4 linked regions of the Notamacropus eugenii genome follow. The protein of the gene in region 2 interacts with the protein of the main gene of each other region in a biochemical or structural test. Links are inferred from orthologs where the notes say so. Each region holds a gene or a part of one and is shown on either strand. Other genes may lie near its edges.

The links.
Region 1: the proteins of GOPC (region 2) and SSTR5 form a complex in vitro, tested with the Homo sapiens proteins (2 studies listed by BioGRID and IntAct, with this or other methods). The link is inferred for Notamacropus eugenii from reciprocal best matches to the Homo sapiens genes GOPC and SSTR5.
Region 3: the proteins of GOPC (region 2) and RPS6KA1 interact in a test that uses a peptide from one of them, tested with the Homo sapiens proteins (2 studies listed by BioGRID and IntAct, with this or other methods). The link is inferred for Notamacropus eugenii from reciprocal best matches to the Homo sapiens genes GOPC and RPS6KA1.
Region 4: the proteins of GOPC (region 2) and CRHR1 form a complex in vitro, tested with the Homo sapiens proteins (2 studies listed by BioGRID and IntAct, with this or other methods). The link is inferred for Notamacropus eugenii from reciprocal best matches to the Homo sapiens genes GOPC and CRHR1.

Annotation. Positions count from the first base shown.
Region 1 is NC_092872.1:51,440,300-51,447,331, forward strand, and holds the start of SSTR5 (somatostatin receptor type 5), read right to left. Parts: upstream 3,020-7,032; 5' UTR 2,430-3,019; intron 1-2,429.
Region 2 is NC_092873.1:199,300,984-199,308,890, reverse strand, and holds the start of GOPC (Golgi-associated PDZ and coiled-coil motif-containing protein), read left to right. Parts: upstream 1-4,887; 5' UTR 4,888-5,145; coding exon 5,146-5,433; intron 5,434-7,907.
Region 3 is NC_092876.1:67,581,776-67,589,580, reverse strand, and holds the start of RPS6KA1 (ribosomal protein S6 kinase alpha-1), read right to left. Parts: upstream 3,005-7,805; 5' UTR 2,905-3,004; coding exon 2,842-2,904; intron 1-2,841. UniProt on the Homo sapiens protein: Serine/threonine-protein kinase that acts downstream of ERK (MAPK1/ERK2 and MAPK3/ERK1) signaling and mediates mitogenic and stress-induced activation of the transcription factors CREB1, ETV1/ER81 and NR4A1/NUR77, regulates translation through RPS6 and EIF4B phosphorylation, and mediates cellular proliferation, survival, and differentiation by modulating mTOR signaling and repressing pro-apoptotic function of BAD and DAPK1.
Region 4 is NC_092873.1:347,228,474-347,235,322, forward strand, and holds the start of CRHR1 (corticotropin-releasing factor receptor 1), read right to left. Parts: upstream 3,022-6,849; 5' UTR 2,494-3,021; coding exon 2,461-2,493; intron 1-2,460.

The sequences.
Region 1 (7,032 bases), on a different chromosome or scaffold from region 2:
CAATGAACACTGGAAGGCGACTAGCCCAGAACGATGCTTCTGTCATAGGCAGGTTCCCGCAGTTGAAAACTATTTAGTGAATGGGCAAGCAGTAAATGTTCCCTAATTGTAGCACTATCAAACCCTGTGTGGTGCACAGGCACCATCTTTGCCCTTGTCTTAAGAGAGTTTACAAAAATAAACAATAAATTGGAAAGGCCACAATAATGCAAAAAAAAAAAAAGTGTATGCCTTTAAACCCCCAAACAAGATGTTAAATCGATAAATCAACCGGTAGAGACCATTGGCAAGATGTAGAGGAAGTTCCAAGTGAGAAAAGCAGAGGGAAGGAATAAGGAGAGGTCAGAATTAGAAAAGTCAGGGGATGGATCAGGATGGGAGGAAATGGATAGAGAAGGATGGGAGAGAGGAGGAGGAATGAAGAAAGAGCATGGAAAGAAGAGGAAGGAAAGTGGGGGTACATAAAAGAAGAGATAAAAAAGGGATGCTGTGAGGATGAAAAGAGATGGGAAGGAAGCAAGAAGAAAGAGGATGCTGGAGAGAAGGAGGGTGGGAGGGTGGGAGAAGAGGGAAAAAAGAAAAGGAGTGAAAAAAGGAGAAAAGGACTCAAAAGAGAGAAAAGAGGGGAGAGAAAAGGGAGAGGAGGGTCAGGCAAAGAAAGAGAGGAGGGCAGAAGAAAGAGAGGAGGGGAGAAGAGAGAGCTAAAAGAGGGAGAGGGAAAATGAAAAAGAGAGAGGAGATAGAAGGAAAAGGATTATAGTATATTGTAGTAGAAAAAGAACTGGAGTAACAGTCAGGAGACCTGATTTCTAGCATAGTGCTCATCTGGGGGTCTGGGGTAATTCCTTTCCTGCCCTCTAACCCTCCTTGGTGGTATTTTCTATAGAAAGAAAAGGATCTCTGAAATGTGTTCTGTATCATGGCTATTCTATTCTGTGCTATCAAAATCTCACCTTTAAACCTATACTGGTTCTCTAGTTAATATTCAATGAGTTAGAAATGAAACTCATCTTCAGTTCAGCTTGCTAAACCCTTAAGTGCCTACTGTGTGGGTGTGGGTAGGTAGGGATAGGCAGAAAGGTGAAGGAGAATGGCCTGTGCTTTCATGGAGTCAACAGAAGCATGCAATAAACACATTCAAATAGGTGTAATATAAAATGAAATTTTGTGCTATGCCATTAATCCATAACATACATAATCCTCTTTTCACAGGATTTAGAGCTAGAAGGGACCTCTGAGATATAGTCCAACCTCTTCCACTCTCCATTTTACAGATGAAGAAACTGAGGAAACTCAGGAAAAAAAAAAAAAAAACTTGTCCAAAATCATCCAGCCGGTAAGTAGCAGCATTAGCATTCGAACTCTGGTCCTCAGACCCTCCCACCCATCTGCTGCACCATTTCTATGTGTCCCCATAGAATTATAGACCCCTACGCAAATTGCTTATGACCTCTCCCAGTCTCCCTCCTCTGCCTCAGAATTTGTCTCCTCCTTCGGGAGGAGCAGGAGCAGGAGCAGGTCTCGGGGAGATGGAGATGAAGCAAATTCAGGAAAGGAGGTTTTAGCAGCAAGATCTCAAGCTAGAGGCCGCAGCCCTCAGGGCCTGCCTCTCTCCCTCCCGCCCCCATCTCTCCTTTCCTCTCTCTCCCTCTTTCTCCTACTCTCTCTCTCTTTCTCCCCTCCTTTAACTTTGCACCTCTACACAAATTCTCTTTCGCCTTAGTTCTGGTCCTGCCCTCAGGCGGGTCCCCTCTCCTAGAAAACTCCCTCCCCAATCACTGGAATACTGGCCCCCAAATTCGCCCCCGCCCCTTGGTTTGGCTTGGCGTCCTTTAAAACTACCTGCTCCACACGTTTAGAGAGGCTCAGGAGGAAGGGGGTATTGGGGAAACGGGAGGGGAGGGGGAGAGGAGGTAGGTTTTGGGAAGTGGAGCTGGAGAAGGAAGAGTACATTCTCCCAACACCCTTAGCTTGGGCTTCCAGAGTGGTACACAACCAATATTTTTCCTACTTCCAAAAAAGTTCAGGTGAACTCCCTATTTGCCTTAGATGGGCTCTCCAGATACTGAGGGATGGAGATGGCTGAGGCAGGCTGTCACACCTCTGGAAATTAGGCTTCAAACCCTGGGCTTTCTCCCCCACCCCCAATAACCCCTACCCCAGGAAAACACAGAGACAGGAGGGCTTGGCTGGGAGCCAGGCTAATAAAACGCTGAAAAGGGAATGGAAATAGAAAGGGGGAAGAGAAAATAGGAGGAAGAAAGTGAATAGGAAAGGAGGAAAGGGGATCCGGGGAGACAAGAGGGCTGGAGGAAAGAGACACAATGGTAACAGGAGAAACCGAGGCAGAAGGATACGTAAAGAGACCAAAGGGACCCCGGAGGAACGTGGATGAGGTATGCAAAGGGACTGAGAGGCAAACTGGTCACCTTAGGAAGAGAGAATGATGACGAGTGGATCAGTCAGCCAGGATCCGATGCACTGGCCTGAACTTGCGGGCCAGGCTCTGTCCCCGAGGAAATGGTGCTTTAAGGGCCCCCTCGGCTCCACTGGGTGCTCCAGAGCTCTGCAGGCTGCAGGATTCCTGGGTCCGCAGGCAGATGGCTAGGTGTCGAGGCTGGCGCTCCCCCTCTCAGCTGCAGGCTTGGGCTAGCTGAGTTCTGCTCTGGACAGTCTCGGTCCTCTCGGTTTATAGCGGAGATGTGTAGGGAGAGAAGGAGGGTACAGGGGGAGAACAAAAAAAAAAAAAAACAGAGGTGGGGGGAGAATGGGGGAGGGAGCTAAGGCAGCTCCTTTTCAGGAAGCGTAGCTCTTAGAGGCGTGTGCGCCGCAGCGGCAGCGCTGGCTTTGGGAAGGGGGTGGGAGGAATTAGAATGGACCGATGGACTGTGGCTCTGGTGGCAGAAGGTGGGCGCTGGGAGCGGCTCCGAAACCTACTCTCCCCACCACTGCTCATCCCCACTGGTCAGCGTGCTATACTCAAACCAGGGCAACCTCCTGTTGCGCCTCCACCTGCTTGCTCCTTTCCACACCCGAGCAGGTATGTATGCCTATGTATGTATGCCTACAAGCACGCGCGCGCGCGCGCACACACGCACACACTAACCCACATTCACACGCAGGCCGGGTTGCCTACAGGGGATTGCTGGTACCTTCAGAGCTGCCTAAGGGAGCTTGTAGAGTTAGCTGAGTCTTGTTCTGGCTCTGGATGGAAGGCTAAGGGTACAAGGCAATCCTAAACAGGGATGTAATGTGAGGCTAACGGTGTGGTGTGGGTACACTTTCACACATGCCACCACCATAACACTAACAGAGGCGCAGATTTCCAGACATAGCTGTGTACCCTGGAGTGAGTTCTTCAATTCAAACACTCACCCTGCTTGGACAAACGTTTACACATTCTCATAAGCACCCACTCCCAGACTCTCAGGCATACAGATGCTCTCCCTAGTGGTGTCTCGGTAGTGAAAGTGGTGGCTAGAAAGAAGAGGCTGCCTACAACCTGCAACTGACCCTTATACACACACATATGATCTCACACACTCACAGATGAACACCATTTTGAACACACACTTATAGGTGCACACAGACACATTCTCTTAGATACAGATTCAATTCACTTTCACAAACACACCTCACACCAACACATTCATGCTGATATACTCATATTTGCAGATGTATGCATGCAGTTAGTTCACAAGTATTTCTTAAGTCTTAATTAAATGATTTCTTACTATATGTCAAACACAAAGTTAAGCCTATGGATACAAGATACAAATAGTTCCTGCCTTCAGGGAACTTATAGTCTAGTGAGAGAGCAAACGTGTAAATAACTAGGTACATACAAGAGAAATACAAAACAGATAGAAGGTATCTCAGAGGAGAGGGTGTTGGTAGCTGGATGGACTAGAAAAAGTCCGCAGAAAGGGGGATTTGAGCTGAGTCTTGAAGAAAAACAGGGCAACTCAGAGGAAGAGATGAAAAGACGGAAATCCTAGGGATGAAGGACAAATACACAGACAAATACACAGACAGTTCTGTTGGTCAGTTTTATTTCTCCCTTAAATCCTTCTCTTCTCCAATGCACTCGGGGAAAACTCAATCCTGTATTTAACATAGCCAGAAGAAAAGCCTATGGGTAAGGCATCATCTCATTCATTCCTCATAGATTTAAAGGGCATTTAATTCAATTTCTTCATTTTACTTGTAGCCTACATAAACTCTCAGGGTCCTTATCCCAGTTTACACTTGCACTGGCAGGTCAGGTCCCCATAATAAGGCTATATCTTCTCCTCTTAACGTTCATCCCTGAGGGGATGGGAAGATATTTTAATGCTATTCTAGTGTGTCCCCCCAAAATATAAATGACCAGTGGCAGTTAATATCTCCTGAATATTATCGATATCATTGGTTAGCCCGACTATTAGTTTAACCAATTAGCTTCAATCGGCTTTTACAAAGTGATATTTACTGTGAAGATAAAGCAAGAACATAAGTCCTAAAGCATCCCCCAAATTGGGAGTTCACTCTCCAGTTTACATTACCTCAGTCCCGCGGTTGAGTGGGCTCAGACTTAAAGAGTTTGCTTCAAAGCAGTCACCTCAGCAAGTTCACTTATGGGCTGGCCACCAGAGGAGTCACTCCCTTTCTGTAGGTCACAATGTCTGGGCTACTGGGTTGAGGTTCTGCTGGCTGGGTCATGCAGGCACATTCCCCAGGGCTACACAAGTGCCCCAGGTTCAGCCGTAGGCAAACTTTGGCACAGATTTTCAACAAGAATGTCCATTCCTCCACCATTTTAAAGTCTCACAAGGCTTTGTAGCAAAGGAAAGAAGACACACAAAGGAGATGGTCCCATACCAGACACAGGCTTTCCTGGGAGGTCATGAACTCTTGGGACAGCCTATTGGAGAGAAAGGAATCCTGGTCCCCATTGGTCCTCCAGAGCTCAGAATTGTCCTTATATCTTGTGGCCGGAAGAAAGGAAAGACAGAAAATTTCTCCAATGGGTCTTTTATATGCATTCGTAATTAGTTCTGGCTCAGCAACCAACCAAAAGGCCTTTTAGGGTTAGGGTTAGAGTAAATGTGCTCCTCCAACTCTAACCCTTCAACTCTATCATGAAGTAAACAGACCAGAAGTAGTCACAGAACACCTGCAATGTGTTCTTGGGCTCTTCTATTCCACATCACCACAAACTTTAAGGAATGGGCTCACCTATGTTTTACATGATTTCACATGTATGACGGATACCATGCTTCTTGCTTTCTCAGTAGGTATGGGATGGTGTGGGAGGGAGGAAAGAATTTGGAAACAAAAAAAATTTTTAAATGCAAATATCTATAAATATAAAAAATAATTTTCAAATAAAATATTAAAATAAATAATTTTTAATTTAAAAAGAAAAGAAATAGGTTTACCAAACATCTGTGTGGTACATTATGATCCCAGGACTGGGTTCTTGTTGGCCATTACTTGCTCCATTACAAACAGATGGGAAAACTGAAACCTTCATCCAGAGAATTAAAGTGACTTGGCTTTCACACAAGTGAAAGTGGACAGTGGTAGAGGCAAGTCCTTTGCCTCCAAGGTCATTTTTCTCTCTTCAGTTATCTTCCTGCCTCTCAAACATACACATTTAAGTATATAGAAACAGATTCAAAACAAATATAAGGTAGTTCCAGGGCCTGAAAAGGCGCTAGTGGAGCCATGCGGGACTCAATAGAACTGACTAAAGAAACAGACAGAGATGGATAGACAGGTGGAATATATTTTTTGTCTATCAAAATTAATTTGTGCACTTACTACTTAAACTTCTAATACCTAAAGAAATGGTAACGTGGTGAAAAGAATACCTACAGGAAACATGATTGCTGTGTTCAGATATTTAAAGAACTGTAAAGTAGGAGAAAAAAGAAATGACAAACCACTCCAGTATGTTTGCCAAAAAAAACAAAAAAACCAAAAAGGCGGTAAGGAGTTATGACTCTTTGGAAACAATTAAACAACGACAATCAAGGAGAAGAATGAGATTTGTTCTCCTTGGCCCTGGGAGGCAGAACTAAAAGCCACATTCACAGTTTACAAAGAGGTAGGTTTAGGTTTGAAATCTAGGAAGAAAATTGAATAATTAATGCTATTACAAATGGACTGCTCCTATGGGGAGCTCCCAACCAGGATGACCACTTGTCAGGGATACTGTAAAAAGACTATCGTTCAGCTACCAGCTGGACTTCTGTTGTTCTTGTTTGGTTGTTTCAGTCATGTCTAACTCTTTGTGACCTGTCTGGGGTTTTCTTGGCAAAGATACTGAAGCAGTATGCCATTTCCTTTGCCAGCTCATTTTACAAAGGCACGAAACTGAGGCAAACAGTGTTAAGTGACTTGCCCAGGGTCACATAGCTGGTAAGTGTCTGAGGCTGGATTTGAATTCATGAGGATGAGTCTTCCTGATTCCAGACCAAGGAACTCTAGCTGCCTCATCAGTATGGGCTAGAGTGCTTCAGATGTCCTTTCCTACTCAGCTATTCAGTGAACACTTAGGATGCCTTCTTGCTTAATGAGTCTCACTGCAGGGAGCTGAACAGTCCACTTTTGTTGCTTTGCAATCAGAGTATAATATTCTAAAATTTTCAAAATCACCACTGTTTGACTCTTCTAACTGCAAGTTCTGAAATTCAGGGTCAGTAATGAGCAATAATGCTTTTCAAAAAAATCTTCACATTTCTCCTTTCTGTGATCCCTTCCTTCTGACCAAGATGACGACATCTCAAGTTGTATTGATAACCACTAGGCAAAGCCAGTTGGTCAGTGCCCAAAACTGAGCATCTCTTATACACAGAGATAAGTACTTGGTGAAGGAGGAATGGGAGGGAGGAGATAGAAGAAGAATAACTACCTCTTATATTTGTACAGCTCTCTAGGTATATTTATAAAATGGGCTCCAATCCCTGGAGTTATATTGCAGAATTATGTGGAAGTATAAAAAGAAGGGGTTCAGGGGGGAAATGTTGGAAGCAATATCCGAAATTC
Region 2 (7,907 bases):
GTGTATCAGTTTTTGGACAATAGGCATTCTGCATCCATTTGGTTTATCTAATGCAGATAGTTAGGGTGAACTCTTAAGTGTTTATGGATATCTGAGACCCAGATCAGCCACTTGATTCTCCCAGGGTCTTTAGGCCAAGGGCTCCAAAAGAGGATGCTGCTGCCGCAGTGGCTGCTGCCACCCTGGGGCCAGGGCCAGATGCCACTCTCCTCTTATCCAGGTGAAAGAGTTTTCTTACTGACCTTTGAAGCTGTCTTTGGCATTTGTGGGTTCAGAAATTTGGGAACCACAGCTGCTGTCCATGATTCCATACCCTGAAGCCTGTTCCAGTCCTGTCCATGCTGCACTCTGAGGCTGGGGTGCACACTGTTCCACTTTGAGCCTGGTGCAATATGCCTTTCCTGTTGGCCTTCCAGGCTGTCTTGGGCTGGAAATCTCTTTCACTCTGTCATTTTGTGGCTTCTGCTGCTCTAGAATTTGTTTAGAGCCATTTTTTACAGGTATTTTATGGGCTACAGGGAAAGAGCTAAAGCAGGTCGGTCCTTCTACTCCACCATCTTGGTTCCATCCCCCTATGTTTGGTTTTGAAGGGACAAAGACAAAAACAAAACCATCTCTACCCTCAAAGAGTTTACATTCTCCTGCTGGGAAAATATGCACACAGATAAGTCAATATAAAATATATACAAAGTAAAAGTAGAAGAATTTTGTTGAGGGGAACTAACTGGGGAGATCAGGAAAAAAGGAGCATAGTATGAAAAAGAAACATCCAAGCCTCTGTTTTTTCTGCCATTATTAAGGATGAATATCTGGCCACTCCTTAACCTCCTTTCCTACATCTTTATCCAGATCATGCCCATAGGACTCTGACCTGAGCCTTCTTCTCTTCTCTCTCTATACTCCTTCACTTGATGATCTCTATGTTCATGATTCTCAAATCTACTTATCCAGGCCAAATGTCTCTTGTTAACTTCCAATCTCCCATCTCTAACTGCCTCTCAGACACCTTGAACTGGACATCCCATAAAAGTCTCAAACTCAACATGTCTAAAACTGAACTTATTATCTTCCTCCCTATACCCTCCCCTTTCCTAACTTCCTTATTACTATTGATGGCACTACTACCCTCCTAGCCCCCAGGTTTGCCACCTAGGCTTCATCCTCCACTCCTCACTCTCTCACCCCTATATCCAATCTATTGTCAAGGTTTGTCAATTTTTACCTTCATAACATCTCTTGTGCATACCGCTTTCTCTCCTATGACACTACTACCTCTATAGTACAGGTCCTTTCTACCTCATACCTCAGGCAGAAACTTGCTGGTTGGTTTCCCTGTCACAAGTCTCTCCTCACTCCAGTCCATCCTCCACTTTGCTCTCAGATCTTCCTAAGGTTTGACCAGTCTGAAGATGTCAACCCCTCCTGCCTCCATTTAATACAATCTAGTGGCTCCCCATCACATTCAAGATCAAATGTTAAATCCTCTGATATTCAAAGCCATTTATAACTTGCTCTCCTCCCACCTTTCCAATCCTTTTACACTTTATTACATACTCTTCTGTTCAGTGATACTGACCTCCTTGCTGTTCCTCCAAGATACTCCATCTTTCCATTTGCAAATTCTTCCTACACACCTTTTCTTCCTGTCTTCCTTGGCTTTCTTCAAATCCCAGCTAAAATCTCACCTTCTATACGAAGTCTTTCCTGACTCCCCCTTAATTCTAGTACCTTCTTTCTAATAACTGTAGCTTCCATAATCACTTAACCTAGGCCAACTCTAATTGTAGGGGGTTGTCTGGAGTCTGATTTCCTCAGAGTACTGGTCAGCCTGTTGGTGGATGGGGGTAGCAGTCTAGAGGAAGGCTGCCATGTTTAGTGTCTTGTCATTCAGGGCCACCTTCTCCTCCAACCCTGTAGAGCCAAGTGCCAGGCAGTATTCTTTCACAGCAAAATGGCCTCTGTAGTCAGACTCTTGCCATGTAATTCCCTCCCTCTTTTCTCCTGTTTTAATTTTGTTTTGTTTGCCACTGATGAATGTAGTCTTAGCTATAGCCCTTGCTAACACTTAGATTCTCCTTTATCATTGTGTAACAACTTTCCAATTTCAAAATAAGCTTTGACTTGAACTCAACTAAACAAAAATGTTTAGGGGAGAAGTATGAAGGAGAAAATGGCCATACAGTATAATATATTCATCATGTACCTTTACCTCTTTCCTCTTCCCTACTCAATCTCCCTGCAACTTTCTTTCCATGATTTGCTGCTGGTTTTAAAGGTACTGAACAAGTTGGCAAGATAACATAAATCAATCCAAGTCATCACTTGTACTTTGATATTTTAAAAAATCTGTAATTTTGAGTGTGTAGGTTCTCTATCAAGGCAGATCAAAACTCCTACCCTTTTGTGATCTTTATTAGAAGCTTTGGCAGAATTTATTTTTTATTCTGCTGCTGACAGTGACAAACTCCTCAGAACTTAATAAAGCTTGTTTTCAGAGAACAGATACATGCTGTTTCTGGACCCATAAGCAAAACTATCTTTGCAGAGCCTTCTAGAGCTTGCACCTTGCAAGCATGGCCATTGAGAACACAAGACAATCTGTACCTCATGAGGCTTAAGAATAAGACTTAAGTAGCACTCACTTCTCTACAGTTTCATTTTTATGGGTGCTGGTCAAATTATTATAATCCCTGTCCCAAAGCCCATTCGTACAAGATTCTCTCCTTATTGGTGGAGATGAAGGCCCTACCCTCCATGATGGACAAAGTGGAATTGGTGGGAGGCAGAGAGCTCCACATTTCAGTAATCCCTCTTCAGAACTCTTTAGAATCCATCCTCTCTGGGACTGGCCAAGCTTCAAGTCTTTGAGCATTAATTCCTCTCAGGTACTCCTAGCTTCCAGGAATAAATTCTGGAAACACATGAGTAGAGCTTGCATTTCCCTATCTCCAGCTAGCTATACTAGAGGTTTGGGGGAATTATCTCTTCAGTGAGATAAAACACATTCTTGGTTGGGTTATTTCACTCCCAAAGACAAAGCCCCTTCATTCTCAATTGTGTGCTGTATATTATTTGTATACCTTCTGCTTTGCTGTGCTTTGAATAAATGAGTTCCTTTGCTATTTTCTGTGTTTTCACTGGGAAACTGGTATTTGGTGAAGAAGGGGTCAGGCCCTGAATATAGATCTTAGAGTCCTTCTTCCCCCCAAAACGACAAAGTGATCAGATACTTCTAACCTGGTACTCCCTGTCTTTGAAGATAGTAGATTAGCGTCTTCTGGCCCGAACATTTTGCTTCCCTTCCTGGAAGGAATTAAAGTAGGAGAAGAGGCTAGAGATGTTTGTTCTGAATACTTTGAGCCATACAACAGTCCTCTCCATAGGTTGGCCTTACATATCTGCGACATTACAATATCCTTTTCTTCAATTTCTCTTCTATGCTTTTACTCCCCCTCCCTCTACTACCTACATACTAATATTGACTAATATTTGTAAAAATTAAGGTAACATCCATATATGACATTCATTTCTCCATAAGTTAGGGACTGGACCTGTGATTTCATTGGTAAGAACAGTTTCTGGGTGAGGAAACTACTACTGGTGCAGGTCAGCATGTTCTGTCTAATTTATAATCTTAGTTGCCTCAGAATACTGAGGAAATTGAGTCACATGCAGAGTCATGCAGCCAGCATGAGTCACTAGAGGGACCGAACTCAGCTCTTCTTGGCTTGGAGGCCAACTCTCTACCCACTGTATACCACATTACCACTCCTGCGATTTTATAATCAAACTGCCTGGGCCTCAAAAAAACAAGTCAGGGTTGGGGAAATGATTCGTTCACAAGTAGTGTCTAAATTACTTTGTTTCTGAAACTAAAGGAAAGGATAAACTCTCCCAAGTTTTGTTTTATTGTAGTGTACAGAGGGATAACTTTAACACGTTTTCCTTTAAGGATGGGCTCATCTGTCCCCCTCCTGAAAACCAAACCAAAGCTGCGCTGCACATTCTAAAAAGTGCTGCCAGAGTGGGAGGCAGATGCGGGCCAGCGGCAAACGCCCTCTTCGGAATCGGAGGAATGAAGTCCAAATACCAGCTCCGCGACTTCCCGTCGAAGCATATCTGGCACCACGGGGGCTGTCAGTTTCCACATCCGAGAAGAAGCGGGGAAGGGGGTGGGCAGGGTCTCTCAAGTCCCCTTCACTTCCGTGGTTCTTGGGCTCGCCCATAGCCGGCCCCGAAGGGTCTCGGCTCCGCTTGGGGATCACCGGCAGCGCAGCCTTCGCGGGCTGTCTGTCCTGGGCCGATGCTCCCTCTCCTGCAGCCCTCGAGCCCGCGCGGCGCATTCCCGGGGCTTCCAGGTACTAAGAGCCCACTCTGCGCCGCCCGAAGGGAAGCATGGGGATGGGCTGGAAAAGATGCAAAGGATGCTCGGCAGATGTCCAACAGGCTAACAAACTGAAGCTCCCTGGGGAGAACACCTGGCCGGGAGAAGAGGCGTGACGACGTCAGGATAGGACAAAAAAAAAAAAAAAAAAACCAAAACACGTGTCTACCGCGCACGCGCAGAAGGTACTTCATCGCTCTAGCCTCGGCGCCCCCTTCTGCCCTACCACTTTGGGATCTGACAGAGGAAGAGATGGACGGAAGCTACTCTCCTACGCGACGTGGACACTGTCGCTCTTCCTCCATGCCTTCCCACGTAGACAGTGACGCGCTCAACACCTCCAACTCTTGCGTTGAGTTCTCATCCCGCAACTTGCCAGTACCCAAGATGGCCACGGAGAGGCTGGGCCCTGTCAGAAGCCTATCACAGGCTAGGGGCTGACCTTTGCCCCTCCCCACTCCTCCCTCTCCGGCGCCAGTGGCGGATTGCTTCTGCGCGTGCGCAAAGGGGACGGGGGAGGGGGGTGGGGGGGTGCGACTCCGACCCGCGGTCTAGCCAGTTCCTCCTCCGTAGCTGCTTCAACCTCTGCTTCATCCCTTTGCCACCCTTAGAGCTGGGTTCCCATCGTTACCTGCGCGAGGGGCCAGGGACGCAGGACCGGCAGCGGCGCGCTCGCGGAGCGCTCGGTCCCGGCTGTTCCCCTCCCGCGGGCAGGTGGCCGGGTCGGCGGGAGAGGCGAGGGGCAGGCCCTCAACAGCGCCATGTCGGCGGGCGGCCCGTGCTCGGCGGGGCCCGGAGGGGTCTCCGGGGGTGCCTCCTGCGCCTCAGGGGTGCCCCCCGGGGGGGTGTCGATGTTCCGATGGTTGGAGGTGCTGGAGAAGGAGTTTGACAAGGCCTTCGTGGACGTGGACCTCCTCCTGGGCGAGATCGACCCGGACCAGGCGGACATCACTTACGAGGGACGCCAGAAGATGACCAGCCTGAGCTCCTGCTTCGCGCAGCTCTGCCACAAGGCGCAGACCGTGTCCCAGATTAATCACAAGCTGGAGGTGAGCCCGGAGGAGGGGTGGCGGGGGCTCGCTCCCGGCGGGGAGGCCGAGGCAGACGCCTGGGGGCGGCCGCCAAAGCCACTACGGGTACGACTCCCTTTCCCCCGTAAGAAGAGGCGATTCCCCCAGCTCCTTTCCTGAACGCTGGGACTTGGCGTGAGGGCGATGCCTTAGTCCTGCTCCCCCTGCTCCTTACCCCCCATCCCAGCACTGGAGGTTCTTCCATCAGATTAGCAGCTTTGCTTCTTGATAGACTCTTGATTCTTTTTCAGGTGGGTAGCTTTTTTCTTCAGTACCTGAGCTGTTCGGTGGAATTTGATCAGATCTGTGGAGACAAATGAGTTTGGAGAGGGGATCGCTTTCCTTAATTATAGATAGCAGAGTGGTTCTGTTTATAGACAGGTTTTAAGTTACCTCAGTTGCTTGGAACGGCCCTTCAGCAGTGGGTTTTATTTGTGAAGCTTTTCCGAGCCCCTTACTGCTTTCCTTCCGAGATTATTTCTAAGTCATCCTATAAATAGTTTGTCCCCAGAAATCTTAATGCAATTAAAAGCTTTAGTAGCTTTTTCAAGTCTTAGTGCAGTTTTAAGTTACCAAACCTTTAGTATCTTAAAAATGTACTAAAATTTTGGGGATACTCTATATATCTCTTTTGTATATAGTTATTGGAATGTTGTCTCCTCTATCAGATTTTGTAAGCTCCTTGAGAACAGGGACTTTTAAAAAGCCATTCCTTGTATTTCCAACGTTTAACAGAGTGCCTTGCACATAGGTGCTTCTTAAATGGCATATCAGTTTATTTACTTGACATGCCCTAATTCTTAAAAGCTGGGTTCCGGGTAAGTAAAGAATGCTCAGACTTTGATCTTCTTGTGACTTTCTAGGGGCAGAAATATTTACACAACACCACAGGTACAAAATAATTCAAATTACAACATTTTCACAGTACTACAGAGTTAATAAATAAAAGGGTTTCATGAAAGAAAGTTTCCACCTTAGGTTTTATAAGGAAAGAATTAGACCTGTCCTTTTAAAGTAGGAAAGAGGGAGGGGGGAATATTGAAATTAGGACAGAGGGATTAGGTGGGAAAAAACTATGGTAATAGCTTTCAGTTCCACAGTAATAATGTTACAGGTAAAAGTAATTAGGATGTATTTTTTATTAAGAAATTATTACTATTGATCCAGACTTTTGGGTTCTTACTTGTCACATAATTTGGGTGACTTCTCATGAAAGGGTAAAGGTTCTGTGTTTTATTAATTGGTAAATCCTGAAAGAAAAATTGTGTACTTAATCTTTGGTTAGCCAACTATTGCATTCTAAAATTTTCATCTTGAAACTTTTTCCTGAATTTTCATTGACAGCTTATCCCTTCCCAAAAAATCTGGTAGGAAACTGATGGTGAAAATACCTTTTGATTTCTTGGGTTTTAATGTTTTCTTGGGTTCTTTTGTGCAATTCAACAAATACTTGTAAATTTTTCTCTTTTTTGGCATTTGCATTTGGATGTGTTTCTGACACTTTTGTGGGTGGTGTTTATTATGATCCTGTATTATGACAGAAAGGAAATCTAACTTGAACTGAGACTTAATTAGATCTCTGAATAAACATATTTTTGTATTAGAACAGATTTTATTTTCTCTTAAAAACTTGGATAACCAAACACTTAAACAGTGATAACTTAAATGTCAAATTAAGATACTAATTTTGTAGAAGGGGAATCATTGTGTGAGTGGGAGGTGGTTTTCAGTTACCTTCATCTTTATCCATTCCAAATGAATGTTAAAAGTAGTCATAAATTATTCAAAGTTGCTCTCTTTTCTCAAATTACATATTCTAACTTCAAATTCTTTCGTAGGAGGCTGTATTTTTTAATGTAAAAATAAAATAACATTTCTTTCTTGAATTTTTTTTCACGTTTGTTCTACTACTACAAATGTTGGCAGTCCTTGTTTTAGATGAACTCCATAGTAAATGGAAGAAAAATAGGCTGTCATTTTTAGGTGGGATATATTCGGGAAAAGTTGCCCAACACTTCTGAAATATTAGCAAATCTTACAAGTTTAGCAAATAATGCAGTTTTCATTAATAGGAACTCTTAGTTGTGCGTACAGAGAAGAAAAAAGCATCACTATCAGCAAGTACTTTTCAGAGTTTACCACAAGGTAGCCATTGTATTTCCAGTCTTCTGAATACTTAGAAAATATCATCATCCTATTTTGATACATACTTTCTGTTCCTCATATGACATGGTTTTTGAGTACATCACCATTCTGGATTTTTTTTTTCCTCTGGATACTCTCCAGCTTGTTAATATCTTTTTAAAAATGACGTACCCAGGAATGAACACAATATTCCAGGTATTATCTGACCACTGCTGATTATGGTGGGATTTATGTTTATGTTTGATTACTTCCCTTGTTCAGGACACTCTCTGTCTATTAATGCATCTTAAGATTTCCTTAGTTTTATT
Region 3 (7,805 bases), on a different chromosome or scaffold from region 2:
TTTGTCCCAAGGCCGGCCCCATATCTGACTGGGATGGCCATCCCTAATGCTCCTGAGAGAAGGTGAGAAGAGGGGTCCTGGCCTTGGCTGATAAGACCCCAACCCTCTCAAAAGAAACAGAAACAGAAGCAGAGTGACTGGCTGAAGATTACCTTGTGCATTAAAGAGAAAGTGAGAAAGAGAACCCAAGTTATAAAACTGTTGATAATAAAACTGGCAGGGCTCAAGCCCTTGATTCTATACAGGGGGAAAGCAAAGCCCAGAAAAATGACTTGGTAGTGGAATCACAGACTGAGATCAGCAAGAGGCCCTGGAAGTCACCTAGTCCAATGCCCTCATTTTATAGATGAGGAAGCAGGATTTGAATGAAGGTCCTTTGTTATATTCATCACCCCTCAATAGCGAGATAATCTAGTTATTGGCAGAGTTGGCATTAGGACCCAAGTCTCCTAACTCACTGTAGGGCTATCTCCTAGCTCCCCCCACCAATTCTACATGAATTCTCCACTCCGCCTTTTCCCTACCACCACTCAATGTATGGGGATGCAGGGAGAGAGTCCCTGCACCCAAAGGGATGGCTAACTCTGCCACCATTTTGCCCATGTTACTCCCCTTTCAAAGCAAGCCATCCCCAAGTTGGGACCTTAACGTGGAGTTTCTGGCAAGAGCTTGATCTCTGAGCAAGATTCCTTAAAGAAGTTAGAGTGGGGGATGGGGGTGGAAAGCTTGAGCCCTGTGCTGAGACCAGGAGCCCTTCCCTGCCAGCACAACCTCAAGGCTAGACACTGTGCCATCTCCCCCTCTTAGCCAGTCCTTGTCCTTCCCCTGTCCCTGAAAGTGAATGTAAAGGGCTTCCCTTTATATATGTCAGGACTCCTGGGTCCCTTAGGAGAAGTACAAAGATCAATCCGAGGCAGGAACCTTATCCATCTCCCTTGGCCTGGCGTGCCCCACCCTGGCACCTCTGCTCCCTGGGACCTGTTCCCCTCCCCCCAGCATGGTGAGAGAAAGGAGCAGAAACAAGGCCAGCCCCAGCTCCTCACCTCTCCTCAGGAGCCGGTGAGTCAGCGGGACGGTGATACTGGGCCTGTAAAACTTCATGGCAAGAATCCCAGGACAATTTACTTCAAATTGCTCCTTCAGGGCTGTTACCTAATCCCCCTACAAGGCCCACCCCCAAATCTCTTGCCACCCCCTTTAAAGGCCCAGCAGCAGCCAGCCACACTGGGGGCCAAGGGACCCCTCTGGATGACCTGGGGGGGGGCACTCAGCACTTCCCTCAGGCCTAGACCTGAACTCGAAGAACTAGGGATCATACCTGCTAAGGTGCCCACTGAAGTACATGCAGGGATAGGCAGGTGATCTGGGCCCCTGGGCCCTACGTGCCAGGGCAGCAGCCAGGAGGATATCTCTTCCTGCTCCGCTCTTTTGGGAATTAGGGCCCAGGGCCTGTTCACCCAGCTTCCCCAGAGCATCAAGCTTGGTGGTGATCCAGTTCTTAGCCTGAGCCCAGCTAGGCAACAGTACCTGGGGACTAAGGCTTTGGTGCCCAAGTCCTCTCCAAGTTGGGCTAACCTCTAGCAGAAGGACTGGGACAAAAGCTGCCTCTTAAGTTGGGAAGAGGGGAAGGAGAGATACCCCAGGAAAGCCTGCCTTTTTTCCAGAAACAGGAGGGAGGGGTAGAAGCCAATACTGTGCCCTCAGGTAAGGGTGGTGGTGGTAGTAGAAAGGCTATATTCCTAGTTCTGGACCTAAGATCTTATGTTTTACTAGCCCTGGGTGTTCTTCTCCTCAGCCCTCACTTACCCCAGCCCTAGAGAAGCACAGATCGTGTCCAAATTGAGCTCTCAAAAGTCACCTTAAAGGGGCCCAAGGACTTCATCTCCCCTACTCTGGAAGATAGAGTAAGTTGGAGGTAAAACTTAGAAACAAGGTGCCCTCCTCCCTGAGGTGACAGGTCTCTAAATCTGGCCCCTGCAGGGAGGATCATAGGAACCACTGGCCGGAAACAGGCACTGGCAATGTTCCTGGGACCCATAAGGACATCCCCTGGTTCAGGGGGGACTTAATTGGAGCAGCCTTGCCAAGAGGAGTAGCCTGATATGGCAGAGATCAGGCGCCTCCCCAGGATGGGGAGAACAAGCCCTTGGGCGGCCAGCTGCAGCCGGGAACGAGTAGAATAGAGACCTGTTTGGGAACAGGCTAAAGCCAGAAGAGTAAAACTACTGGATCGACGGTTCCATAGCTCATGCCAGCACTCTGGCATCCGGGCATTCCTACTCCTACCTGGTGGTACTGGGGGAGTTCAGGAGAGCTCCTGCTGGAGCGACGCCCCCCTCCCCCAAAGTGTGTGAGTATGAGGGGTGGGGCAGGTCTCCCAGGACTCGATCAGCTCTCTCACAGCCCTCCCCTCCCCAACACACATAGAAGGCTCAAACTCCAGCTCTGGGCACCCCTTCTCCTCTCTTCCCTCACCTGGCCCCAGGGAGCCGCCCAGACGGACTCTCCCCTGGACTCTCTGGCCGGGGGAGCCGCACGGGATGGAGGGGCGTGTCTTAAGGGCAGATTTCTCCCCTTAGCTCTGGGTTTCTCCGGGAGAGGGCAGCTCCGGGTGGCTCGTGAGGTGCGGAGGGAAGAGCGATGCTGCTTGAGTGGGGGGTCGGGGGGAGGGGTCAGGGGGAGATCCAGCTGTTCCTCCCCCTGCCCCAGCTGCAGCGCCGTCTTTGTCTGCCCCTGGCTGGGGGCTCCCATTGTAGCCTGCCCAGCCCAGGCCGGATCCCGGGAGGTCCCGCCCGCCGCAGCCCCGGGACACAAGAGTCCGGGACACCCAGCCCCGCTCACCTCGGGATCCAGTGGAAGCAGCTCGGTGAGCGGCCAGGGCTCCCCGAGCTGGGCGAGCGGCATCGTGCCGGCGGCCCTCCGGGCTGGCGCGGCTCCGGTTCCGGCTCCCGCGCCCCGCGCCCCGAGCCCAGTACCCCACGCACCGCTCCTGCACTTCTTACTCCCTCCGTCCGCGCTGCCCCAGGGGGCGGGGCGCCGCCGCCGCCGCCGGACCCGCCGCTCCATTGGCTACCTGCGGCCGCGGGGAGCTTGGGCCACGCCCTCGCCCCTCCCCCTCCGCCGCTTCCCCCCATCCCCACCCGGGCGCCGCATTCCCGGAGTGATCTTCCCCTCCCACTCCCATGCACGTTCCCGGTCCCTCTCGGCCCTGGCCCCTGCTCCTTTGGGGGTCCCCAGATCGCTCTCCTCCTTCACCACCACAGCCCCATTAACCCTTGCACTGCCCCGCCTCTGGGGCCATTCTCTCCCCTCCCCCCTTCAGCATATCTGGGGAGCTTCTGTTCCAGATGTGGACGCTTTTGTCCAAGGGCCCCCCATCAAAAAGCTCTCAGGCCAAGAGTGAGGTTGGGGAACCCAGATAAGAGTCTGAGACTGGGATCTTGGGTGTCATCCCTCCTTTCACCCATCCTGTCCCTGAAGTGACTCCTTTCCTCGGAGAGGGGTCCACAAGTTGTCCTGTTCAGAGAAGTCTGTGGCCTCTGTGGTAGAGGAGCAGTAGGGATTCAGGGTTCACCCCTGCCCCCACCCTCCCTACTAGTCCTGGTATATAATCTCTCCTGGGGGACAATCCTTCCCCTACTCCCCTGGTAAAAAATTGGCAAGACCTGCATCTTTCCTCAAGACTGGGTGAGGTGGAGGATGAGAGAGAGTGGGTACTTATTCCAAGTCTTAAAACATCCCACCATTAAAACATAGCCTGTTAGAATTGGATGGGATCTTAGAACAAAGAATGTCCAAGCTATAGGGGACATTATTAGAACATGGAACTTTCCAGCAGGAAAGAACTTTAGAACATAAAAGAGTACCAAAGACAGGGTCATTAATGAGCACAAAGAATACTTGACCTGGAAGGTACCTTAATTGAAAGTTAAAGTGGACAGAGTCCCTTTAAAGTCCCTGTCAGGTACTGGTTTTGGAGTCAAAGACCTGAAGTCCAATTACAACTCTACTTTGGACAAGTCATTTGACCTCTTTGGTTTTCATTTCCTCATTCGTAAAATGAAGAGGGTCGAGCCCCCTTTGACTCTAAACCTACTCCCTTCTGGAATGTGAGAGCAGGAATTAGAACCCTAGCACACACATAGAAGGTCAGAAAGGAGAGTGGTAATGCTAAGCCATCCTCTGACCCTGTATATTGCACATAGAATACCATTTACAAATGTCTAGCTGAATTAAAGGGATCTTAAAATCTGGACCCTGACAAGGGCAGGAAGAGACCTTTGAAATGAGCTAACCCAACATCTTACAGATGAAACTGAAGAGAGTTGAAACAATTTGATCAAGGTCATACAACAAGGCAAGAAAAGGGGTGGGACTAGAATCCAGATCCCTGGATTCCCTGTCCAGTATCCTCACTGCTCATTATATCCTATCACACTCAGTTCCAAAAGCCAGAGAGAAAAGTTAGCTCTTAGTCATCTTCCCAGGAGCCTCCTCCCCTCCCAGAAACAATGTGTTGTCTTCTCACAGTGATGGCCTCAGATGTATTTTTTTTTTAAGCTACAGGAAACTGTGATTTCTCTTTGTGACTTAGAAGATTCATTTGAGGAGGGGACAGTGAGGATTCTGGTCTTAGCCTGGCAACAAAATGACAGCACTTTCGATTCTGACATTCTGTGTTCTAACGATCTGTATTCTAAGTGTCCTCTGAGTCTGACATATTTCTCTTCTAAAATCTCTTCCAGCTCTGGTTCTAGGTTCTAAAGTCCCTTCTAGCTTTGGCCTTCTATATTCTAACATTCTATGTTCCAAGGGTCCCTTTAGTTCTGATATGTTATGTTCTAAGGTCTCTCCCTTCATGAAGATTTTATGTTCCATTGTCTAGGTTCAGAGTTCCCTGTAAACTTGGATATACCATATTCTGAAGTCCATTCCTCAGGGTTGACGTTCAATTCTAAGAGCCCCTCTAATTCTAGAATCATTAGGGCATAATGGATAGAGTTCTGGACTTTGGAAGCCCTGCATCCAAATCTTGTCTCAGATACTGGGCAACCGTGGGTAAGTCGTTTCCTCATCTGAGGATCAGGTCTGATAATGTCTGCCAAACACTATATACATATCAGCTTTTATTATCTTCTATGGTTGCTTCCAAATTATTATTCTGTATTCTAAGGTCCCTTCCAGCTTTGACATTCTGTGTTCCAAAGTTGTTTCTAGCTCTGACAGTCTATGTTCTAGGATCTCTTCCAGCTCTGAAAGTCTGTGTTCTAAAGTTCCTTCTAGCTTTGACAATCTGTGTTCTAAAATCCCTGTCAGGTATGACATTCTAGAATTCTCCTTTTCATCCTCCTCTTCCTTCTCCTTCATCTCCTCCCCCTCCTTCTTGTTGATGAGATGAGGGGAGAATAGGGACTTTTAGTTCTTTCAGCTAGCTCCCCTTGCAATATCTCTGTGCTGGTTGGTCTCCGACAAGCATCTGGGACCATGATTGCTTCTGCTCATGGCACACCAAGTTACTTTGGGAAGTCCCTGATTAGAGTCTACTTGGCTTGACTTTAAGGGAAGAGGCCATGTTGCTGAGGGTAAGGAAAAAGGGAAGGATGGAGCCTCTTTGTGGGATCATCCTGGCTTTCTCCTAAAATGATCTTGAAGCAGCCATTTATCCCCTAGTTAGGATAAGACATATGTAATCTTAGGGTCAAGGCAGTTTCCCTGATAAAAGGATATGGGTACTATTTCTAGGGGTTTTCCAAATGTAATTTCTCTGGCTTATATCCCCTTCAAAGAAATCCTGAAAATGTCAGTCTCTGGCTCATTTTGATTTCCCCCAAAGGCCCTTAGCTCCTCTGAAAGCACTTAGGCTAACAACATCAAATACTGAAAAGATTTTATTTTTACATCAAAAATACAGAAAGAGCTAATACCTGCCCTCATAAATAAGCAAACATCTCTCTCGGGGGAAAGAATTTGAGGATGCTAGGGAATCTTTCTTCCCACCTACCCCCAAATTTATATAGTTCAGATGATTGGAATAGATCTGGATTGTTCCCCAAGTGCACATTTTCTTGCCTATGCTACTCTTTCTACCCTGGTTCTCCGCCACACTGCTTTCATCCAGGGTTCATCCCTTCAGGGTCTGAGGGATGCAATACCCTACAGGACTCACTCTCCCCATGTGACTCCATCAGGGTCTCAGGGTCTCAGTCACATACTGGCTCCTCAAGGCCCATGGCTGTCTGTAGGGGACACCTAGATGTGCAGGATTTTCAGCAGGTCTCCATGCAACCCTGGTATCTCCAGCTCTCCTCCTCAGGGTCCATGTATTCCCTCTTATATCTGGAACCAGCTCCTGGGAATCCCCTATGAATGAATTGAAAGGGAGAGGGAAAGACTTACCTCCAAACCTGTATACATACATTCTCCTCAAGCCAGGAGAAGTACTACTGGATTTGGAATCAGAGAACACAAGTTCTAATTATGACTTTGCTACTTACTACCTGTAGGACTTTAAGCAACCTGCTCATCCCCTGTGAGTCTTAAGTTTGAGGAGGAATGGAAGCCAACAAGAGGAAAGGAAGATCAGGTCATTGATGGAAGAAGCAACTGGAGAGGCTGATGGATGAAACTGACAAATGCCAGTCTTTGGGATATAAAGTGCAAATGAGCACATGGAGAGGAAAGGGAGCATGAGCAGACTTCCACCCCACAAAAGGGGCAAAGAAGCTGCCATCTTTTCCTTCCTCCATCTGGCCCAAAGGTTAATAGAATCCTGTGGTGTAGCGTTTAGAGTGTTAGACTTGGAAGCAAAGCCGGTTCAAAATACCAACTCTACTATGCACCAAGCACTAACATTCTACTCCCTTCACCCCTCACACCTCCCTTCAATTATCTCATATATGTTTTATATAGAGAGGCAGCATGGTATAGTGGATAGAGAGCTGGCCTTAGAGTCCTGAGGATCTGAGTTCAAATTCTGTCTCTGATATATATTGCCTGTGTGATCCTGGGCAAGTCAGTTAATTAGCATTTAAGTATCTACTAAGTGCTGGGGATACAAAGAAAGGCAAAAGACAGTCTGCCACAATCTAATGAGGAAGACAGAAAAGAAAAAAAAAAAGTACAAACAAGCTATACACAGGGTAGATAAGATTGCTTTTGTTGTCATTTGCCCTTTGTTGTCAGAGGGCCATGACATCAGGAAGGTGATACCATGACCTGCAAGTGAATTGGATTTAAGTGGAGCAGGGCTGTGCAGAGTCACCAGCCTCACTTTTTCCTCCAGAGCCTTCTGTGTCTAATGGCTAGATATAGATCAGTCCCACTGGAGAAGGTCCCAGGATAGATAAGAAATAATTGATAGAAAAAAGGAACTTCCTGTAAAAAATGAGATTTTAGTTGAGATTTAAAGGAAGCCAGAGGAGCCAACAGGCAGAGTTGAGAAGGGAAAGCAGTCCAGATGCAGGAGCCAGCCCGCAAAAATGCTCAGAGCCAAGAGATGGGGTGTCTTGTTCATAGAATGGTAGACACCAGTGTCACTGGATTGAAAAATACGTGACAGGAAATAAGGTGTTAGAGAAGACTGGAAGGGAAGGGGTGGGAGAAGGTTATGAAAGGATTCTAGACACCTCTGAATAGAAGATTTATATTTGATCCTAGAGGTGATAGGAAATCATTGGCATTTATTGAGTAGGGGGTTGAGGAGGTGTGACATGGTCAGAACTGAGCTTTAAGAAAATCACTTTAGTGGTTGAATGCAGGATGGATTGGAGTGAGGAGAGACTGGAGGCAGGCAGACCCACCAGCAG
Region 4 (6,849 bases), about 150 Mb from region 2:
TCTTAGGAGATGGAGTAATGGTAGGGGAAGCGTGTGTGTTTAAAGTTTATATTAGAATAGTTTCAAACAAAAGCTGAAAATAGAAATGAAATCCTCTCACTTCCTTACTTAGTTACTCCTCCCTCCCTCATTCATTCTTCATTGATCTATTGAGATTTTTTCTTTTTACCATGCTCCCTCTCCTATCCCTCACTCCCCCCCCACTCCCACACTTTCTTGATTATAAGATTTAGTGCTGAAAGGCCCTTTTTGGTCATCTGGTCCAACATCCTCATTTTTGAGATGAAGAAACTGAGGTCCGGGGAGAGAGAGTGATCTGTTCCCTTCTCTCTGTTCATACAACTTCCACAATAGTCTTTCATCACCCCTCCCTGTACTATTTCAGTAACCTCTCTTACATTTCTCACCTCTCCAATCCATCTATCACGTCTCTGGTGCCACAATGATTTTCCCCTTTGCATAAGTCTCCAAGTCACTTCTACACTCAAACTTCAGCCCATCTCTTCTGACTGTTTACACTTCCAGGGTCAGATATAAACTCTGGCACTTAAAGCTCTTTTGCAGCCTGGTCCCAATCTGGACTCATTACATATTACTATCCTCCAGGAATTTCACTCTCCAGCCAGATTGCCCCTCCTCTTGTTCCTTACTCGCAGTTTTCTACCTTCCATCTCTAGTGCCTTTGGAGGGGACTATCTCCTCCATGCCTGGGGTTTACTCCCTCTTACTTTCTGACTCCTTTTCAAACCCCAACTCAAGTGTCACACTGAAGTTTCCCTCCCCCCCCCCCCCAGCTTCTAGTGTCTCCTCCATCTATATATCTGGTATAAAATAATACCAAGTACACATATGTACATATATGTATATATGCATGTTGTCTCTCCCTCTCTCTGCCCCCTCAATACCATAAGCCCCAGGAGGCCAGGAACTGTATGACTACTGTCCTTGTATATCAAGTGCAGTGTCTAGCCCATAGTAGATGCTAAATAAATATCTGTAGGATTCTTTTTTTAATTGATTGCCAGAGACCACAAAGATAGGACAACCAGACTGGAGCCCAGGTTTTTCTTTCTGATCCAAATCCAACACTTTTCTCACTGTCTTGGTTAAAAGAAAGCTGTATTACAAGGGCTTTCGGAGTGGGGTGGGGAGTGAGGCTTATTTCAGTCAAACTCATTATTATTTTTTAAACATTCTGTTATAGACAACTTGAATTAAACTGCTAGTTTTCAAAGGAGATGATTTGATTCACACACCTCTGTGTATACAGAGAAACAAAAGACAAGACAAAGGTTCAACAACTATTTGAAAAGTAAAAAAAAAAATCAAATGGGTGATTTAGCATTGTGGGATCACTCAATCATTTTTTAAAAATTCAGCACTTTCAAGATTCACACATACACATAAATAAAAAGCACTCCTCCCTCCCAAAAAACAATCTAGAAATCAGTTAAAGTAATTTATCTGTGTGTGCATTGGAGAATAAGCCTCACAAAAAATAGATGCCAGAATTCACTCGTTTACAGGGTGTGAGACTCCATCCTGGACCCTAAAAATATGCTTTCCTCCCTGATTGAAGATTGGTACCTGGTTTGGGATGAGGGAGTGATCTGTCTGCCACTGAACTACTTTAGACAAAAATTGGTGGATTTATTGGTGACTTTCCTAAACTCTAGGAGCTGGTATATCCTCGCTAGACGTTAGACTCAAGACCGAGCGGTTTCTGGCTCCTAGTTCCAGCGGAAAAAAAAAAAAGCTCCCACTCTCGGACCCGGCTCAAGCACGGCCAGTCAGGAGGCTAGCAGGAGAAGAGGACCGAACATCAGACACCTCAATTAGGCGGGGGAACATTGTTCTATGAATCCAAGCGCTCGGAGGAGCGGGAGAGATTTATCTCCATAGACATGCAGATTTCTGCAAAGGGAAAAGGAGCCATTGGGCGGCCTAAAAGGGGGGAAGGAGGAGGTAGAATCTAAGGAAGGTGTTTAAGGAAAAAAACAGGCGAGAACCTTACCTCCAAAGCGTTGAACTATCGAAGCCCAACCCAGACAGAATGGTCAGCGGGGGCGAGGGCAGGTAGAGGAGGGGGAAATGGGGACTCAACCCCTGATTTGGTAATCACCCCGGCACTCTGAAGCTTGAGGAAGGGAATCTTTGGCACTGCGGATTCCGGGAAGCGTTCTCCCAGCCCCAACCTGAGTCCTCCCCACCCATTTCCCCGGAAAACCGTCCGTTCTGAAGAGTTTGACTTCCCCCAGGGACATTAAAGCCGTCTTTGGTAGTCCTGGGTCGTTCCCAAACCAGCCCGGGCCCCTGGCCCCGGGCTGGAGAGGGTCAATCCTGCGCCCCCGCTCCTCTGCGCACACAGCTCCCGGTCTCCCCCGCTACCACTGGGGTGTTGGGGGGGATGGGAGGGATTGGTGCAAGTGGAAGGGTCTCTTTGCCCGCCCATATTCTTACCTGGATGACCAAGAGGTGAGGGCGGCGTCCCATCCTGGGGGTTCTCTGGGGGCCCTGGATACCTGGCTTACTGGCACATTCCCCAGAAGGGCACGGCCAAGCTCGGGCTAGGGCGCTTGCTTGCTAGAGAGCTGCGGGGGAAAGCCCGAGGTAGCGTGGCGGGTAGGGGAGGGAGGCAGCCCCAGCCTCTGAGAGTGGGAGCCCAGAGGGATTGGGGGGAGAGCAGGGTAAGGAGAGGCAGGGGATCGCGGCGCTGGCAGGGGATCGCAGGGGAGGAGAGAGAGCGGAGCGCCAGGTGCTCCTTTAGAAGGAGGCACTGCCCGCCCGGCTCTCGGGCTCCGTCCCCGGCGGGCAGCCCGCAGCTCGGTCACATCTGCTGCCAACAACCGGCTCCTTCTCCCATCCGCCCCCAGCTCCGCTCCCGGTTCCCTCCGGCAGCGCCACCTCTCTTCTTCCTAAGCCGGGTCCCCACGGCCACTTCCCGCCCAGTTCTTAAGGGAGGGCACTCGTCTAGCCTGCGCCTGGCAGTCAGGAACCCCGCATCGCCCCCGCCACCTCTCTCCTCCTCCTCCTTTTCCTCCTCCTCCTCCCTGTCCTTTCTTGCCTTTTTCTCTCTCCTCCCCACCTCCTCCTCTCCTCTCCCTTTTCCTCCTCTCTCCTTCCCCCTTCCCTCCCTCCTCCTCCCTCTGCCCCTTTCCTCCTCCTTCCCTCTTTCTCCACTCGCGCTCCCTGCCTGTCCCTTCCCTTCTAGCGCTTCCCCCTCACCCCTCCACCCTGCCTGGCTAATCGCTGACCCCTTTTCCCTGCCCCCCTCTCAGTTTGCAGCAGTGAGTTGAGCGCGGCTCCTGCGCCGCCAGCTTCAGGGACAGCAGTCCGAGAAGAGCCTAGAGATTGGGACTGGGGCGAGAGGGTGGGGAGGGGAGGGGAGAGAAGACTAAGAACCCCTCTTCCACTCGCTTCTTGGAAAGGCTGCTGAAGAAAGAGACTTACGGGACGTGGGGAGGGGGGAGATCAGGAGAGACATACTTCTGGGACACAGAGTGAGTCTGATTGGAAGGACGAAGGCGGGAGGGGTGAGGTGGTCTGTGGAAGGTGCCCCTCCACCACCGCTTCCTGGGCACCCTGCTGGAGAGTGAGGGAAGGCTAGCAGTAGTTTTGGAAGCTCAGGATTGCATCTGGGTGTTTCCCGACCCATCCCCCCACAACCCCTCCTCCGCTTCAGCCCTTTCATCTCTCCTTTCTTTGCCATTCCCTAAGGGGGTCTACAACTCTAGGCCTGAGTGGTAGGGTATGGGCACTCCCTGCTCTTTCTAGCATCTACTCTTCACTCCTCCATAGCCGTTCTATGTTTCAGAGACAGTTCCCTCATTTACAGGATAACACCCCACACACACCCTCCACCCAGACCCCAGCAGGAGGTTGTGCCGTTTTCCCTTGGCCAGTGGGGAGAGAAAGATAACGGCAACATTGGAATCCAGGCTCCTTAGCCCTTGTTACCCATCCTTGCTGCCCAGCACCAGGATGACCGTCTGTCACCCCAGCCCCCAGATCTCTAGATACAGCTTTGGTATACAAGACAGAACTTTGAGCTCACTTCCTGGGGCTAGAGATTTGGTTCCTGGATCCATCTTCAATTTTATTCAGCAAAATTTCGTTGTATCAACCATAGTGCAAGTGCTGAGGAAAAGTACAAAGATAAATAAAATGGGGTCCCTACTCTTGAGAAGCTTACCATCTTATAGGGGAGGTGGCATGAGCATGGACAGCCATTTTACAAGGCAAAATAGGATGCTCCATGAAAGAGATACAGTGGTAAGGAGAGATCACTTCCGGCTGGAGCAAGAAGGGAGGGAATCAGAGAAGGCTTCTTGGAGGAGATGTCATTTTGGCTGAGCCTTGAAGGATAAGTTTGAATGGGAAAGGAGATGGGGGGACAGTGGAGAAGCAGTGGAGAGGAGGAAAAGAAAGAGTCATCCAGAACGAGCATGTTCAAAAGGTAAGGGATATTACAATCCTAATCAAACTTATACCTTGGCTATCCTGAGTTTTCCTCCACCACTTCATTCAAGACTCAATTCAGGGGAACATTAAATGCACTGTAGGATTTAGTCCTTGTGTCAATTTGGCTTAACTGTTTCTTGTTACAAGGGAGGGTTCACATGGGTTGAGGATGGTCTATATCTGAAAAAAATAGGCAAAAGGCATCAATAAATCTTTTTTAAATCAATTTTTAATAAAAAGATAATCTCAAATCACCTTCAAAATCAACCAGTCAACCAAAGGCATTTATTATGGGCAGGCCCTGTGTTGATGCTGGGGGTATAAATTAAAAGAATGAAATAGTCAAGGAGCTTACATGTTAGCTGAGGAGACAAGAGAGCAGCAAGGTGCCATGGTGCTCAAAAGAGCCAAGCCTGGAGCCAGGAAGATTCATCTTCCTGAGTTCAAATCTGGCCTCAGACACTTACTAGCTGTGTGACTCTGGCCAAATCACTTCATTCTGTTTGCCTCAGTTTCCTCATCTGTAAAAAGAACTGGAGAAAAAAATGGCAAGCTGCTACATTATTTTTGCCAAGAAAACCCCAAGTGGGATCATGAAGAGTTGGACACAACTGAAAAGGACTGAGCAACAAAAGGAGACAAGAAACTTATTTACATAAAAGTATACATGTACATATAGACAAAATGAATACCAAAGAGTTAAATACAAAGATGTTTGGGAGGGAGCACATAGTAGTGGTGGTGGTGGATTAGGAAGACTTCATCTTGAAGAAAGAGAAGGACTGTATGAGGTAGAGGTGAGGAGGGAAAGCATCCCAGCAATGGGAGATAGTTGATGAAAAGGCAAAAGAAGGGACATAAAGTTCTGTGGTTGAAAAACGCTGAAAAAGCCATTTTGGTTAGATTGCAGAAAACGTGGAAAGCAGTTTAGTTCAACGAGTCTGGAAAGTTAGACTTGGGCCAGACTGTGAAGGACTTTAAAAGCTAAACAGTTTAAATATGATTCTAGCAGTCACAAGGAACCTTGGGAATTTGTTCAGTAGAGGAATGACATGGTCAGATCTTTGGGAAGAACTGATGAAGGAAAGGGAAGGAAAAGGAAGATAAGGTAATGGAAGAAAAGGGACAGGAATAAGCATTTATACAGAGCCTACTATGTATCAGACTTCGTGCTAAATTTTTACAAATTTTTACGAGATTACAATTTTAATAATATTTACAAGTATTTTAAATAACATTTCTAAATATTGCTCATTTGATCTTCATAAAAACCTTGGAATGTAGGTGGTATTGTTTGAATTCAATCAAAGGGCCAAGTTTGAGGACCAAGAGGGCCACATGTGGTCTCAAGGCTGCAGGTTCCCTATCCCTGGGCTATTTTGTGCTTTGGGTGGCAAGGAAGCTAAGCTAATGATGACACTGAGAATAGCTTCCTAACCTCCTTGAAGGAAAACCAGACCAGACTACAAAAAAGAAGCCCTGATTCTACGAATTCTCACTCCTTCATGTTGAGGTCCCCAAGTTTTTCTAGGAGATATTACTTCACTAAAACAATGTTAAAACAACAACATAATTAGCACTGGAGGAAAAGCTTAACACAAATAATAAAAACACGAATCAATACAATCTTCTCAAAGCTACAATTCATAAAGTAGAGGAAACATTAGGGACAATTCAAAGTAGGTCTCCTGTTGTAAAAACAACTCTGCTGGCCAAAAGCAACACAAATTTGCATCAGATTTGCAGCAGATGATGTCTCCTATACCATTGCCAAGCCCTATCACAGGTCCTGGTCATTTGTATCATGATAGCTAAGAGATCATAGACCTCTTGCATGTAACCTGTCATGGGGTATGAGCTGATGCTGAGATTCACAAGATATTGCTGTCCTCTCGGTGGGGGCTAGCCATCTAGCCAGAATCTATCCTTCCCTGGGAAACTCAGTGGGGAATGGTGATACCTTTTGGTAACTTTAGAAGTTTTGCTGCAAGGTTACCCTTGGTTCCTTCATCCTGTGACTCAAGATTAAGAATTATCCATTAAAATATCCCTTTTCTACCATGTGAATTCCTATTCACCATGATTCTATTTACTATGATATTTATTGTTTTATGGCCTATAAAGGATTTAATTAGTGCTTGTGTCATGTGATACCTCTGAGAAACACCTATATTTTTAGGAAACCCATTCTGAATTCTTTCAGCTCTAAATTCTCCAGTGATTTCTTCAAATATCCCTGAGGAACGATAATGGAAGGGTACTGAATGCCTCCCCACTGCTCCTGACTGGTTTCAGTCAACAGAGATGGAGAGAAAAGCATTGATGAGATCGCTAATTCTATAGTGCTTACCTGAGACCTTTGGATACCCAGTTTATTACATGGACAAA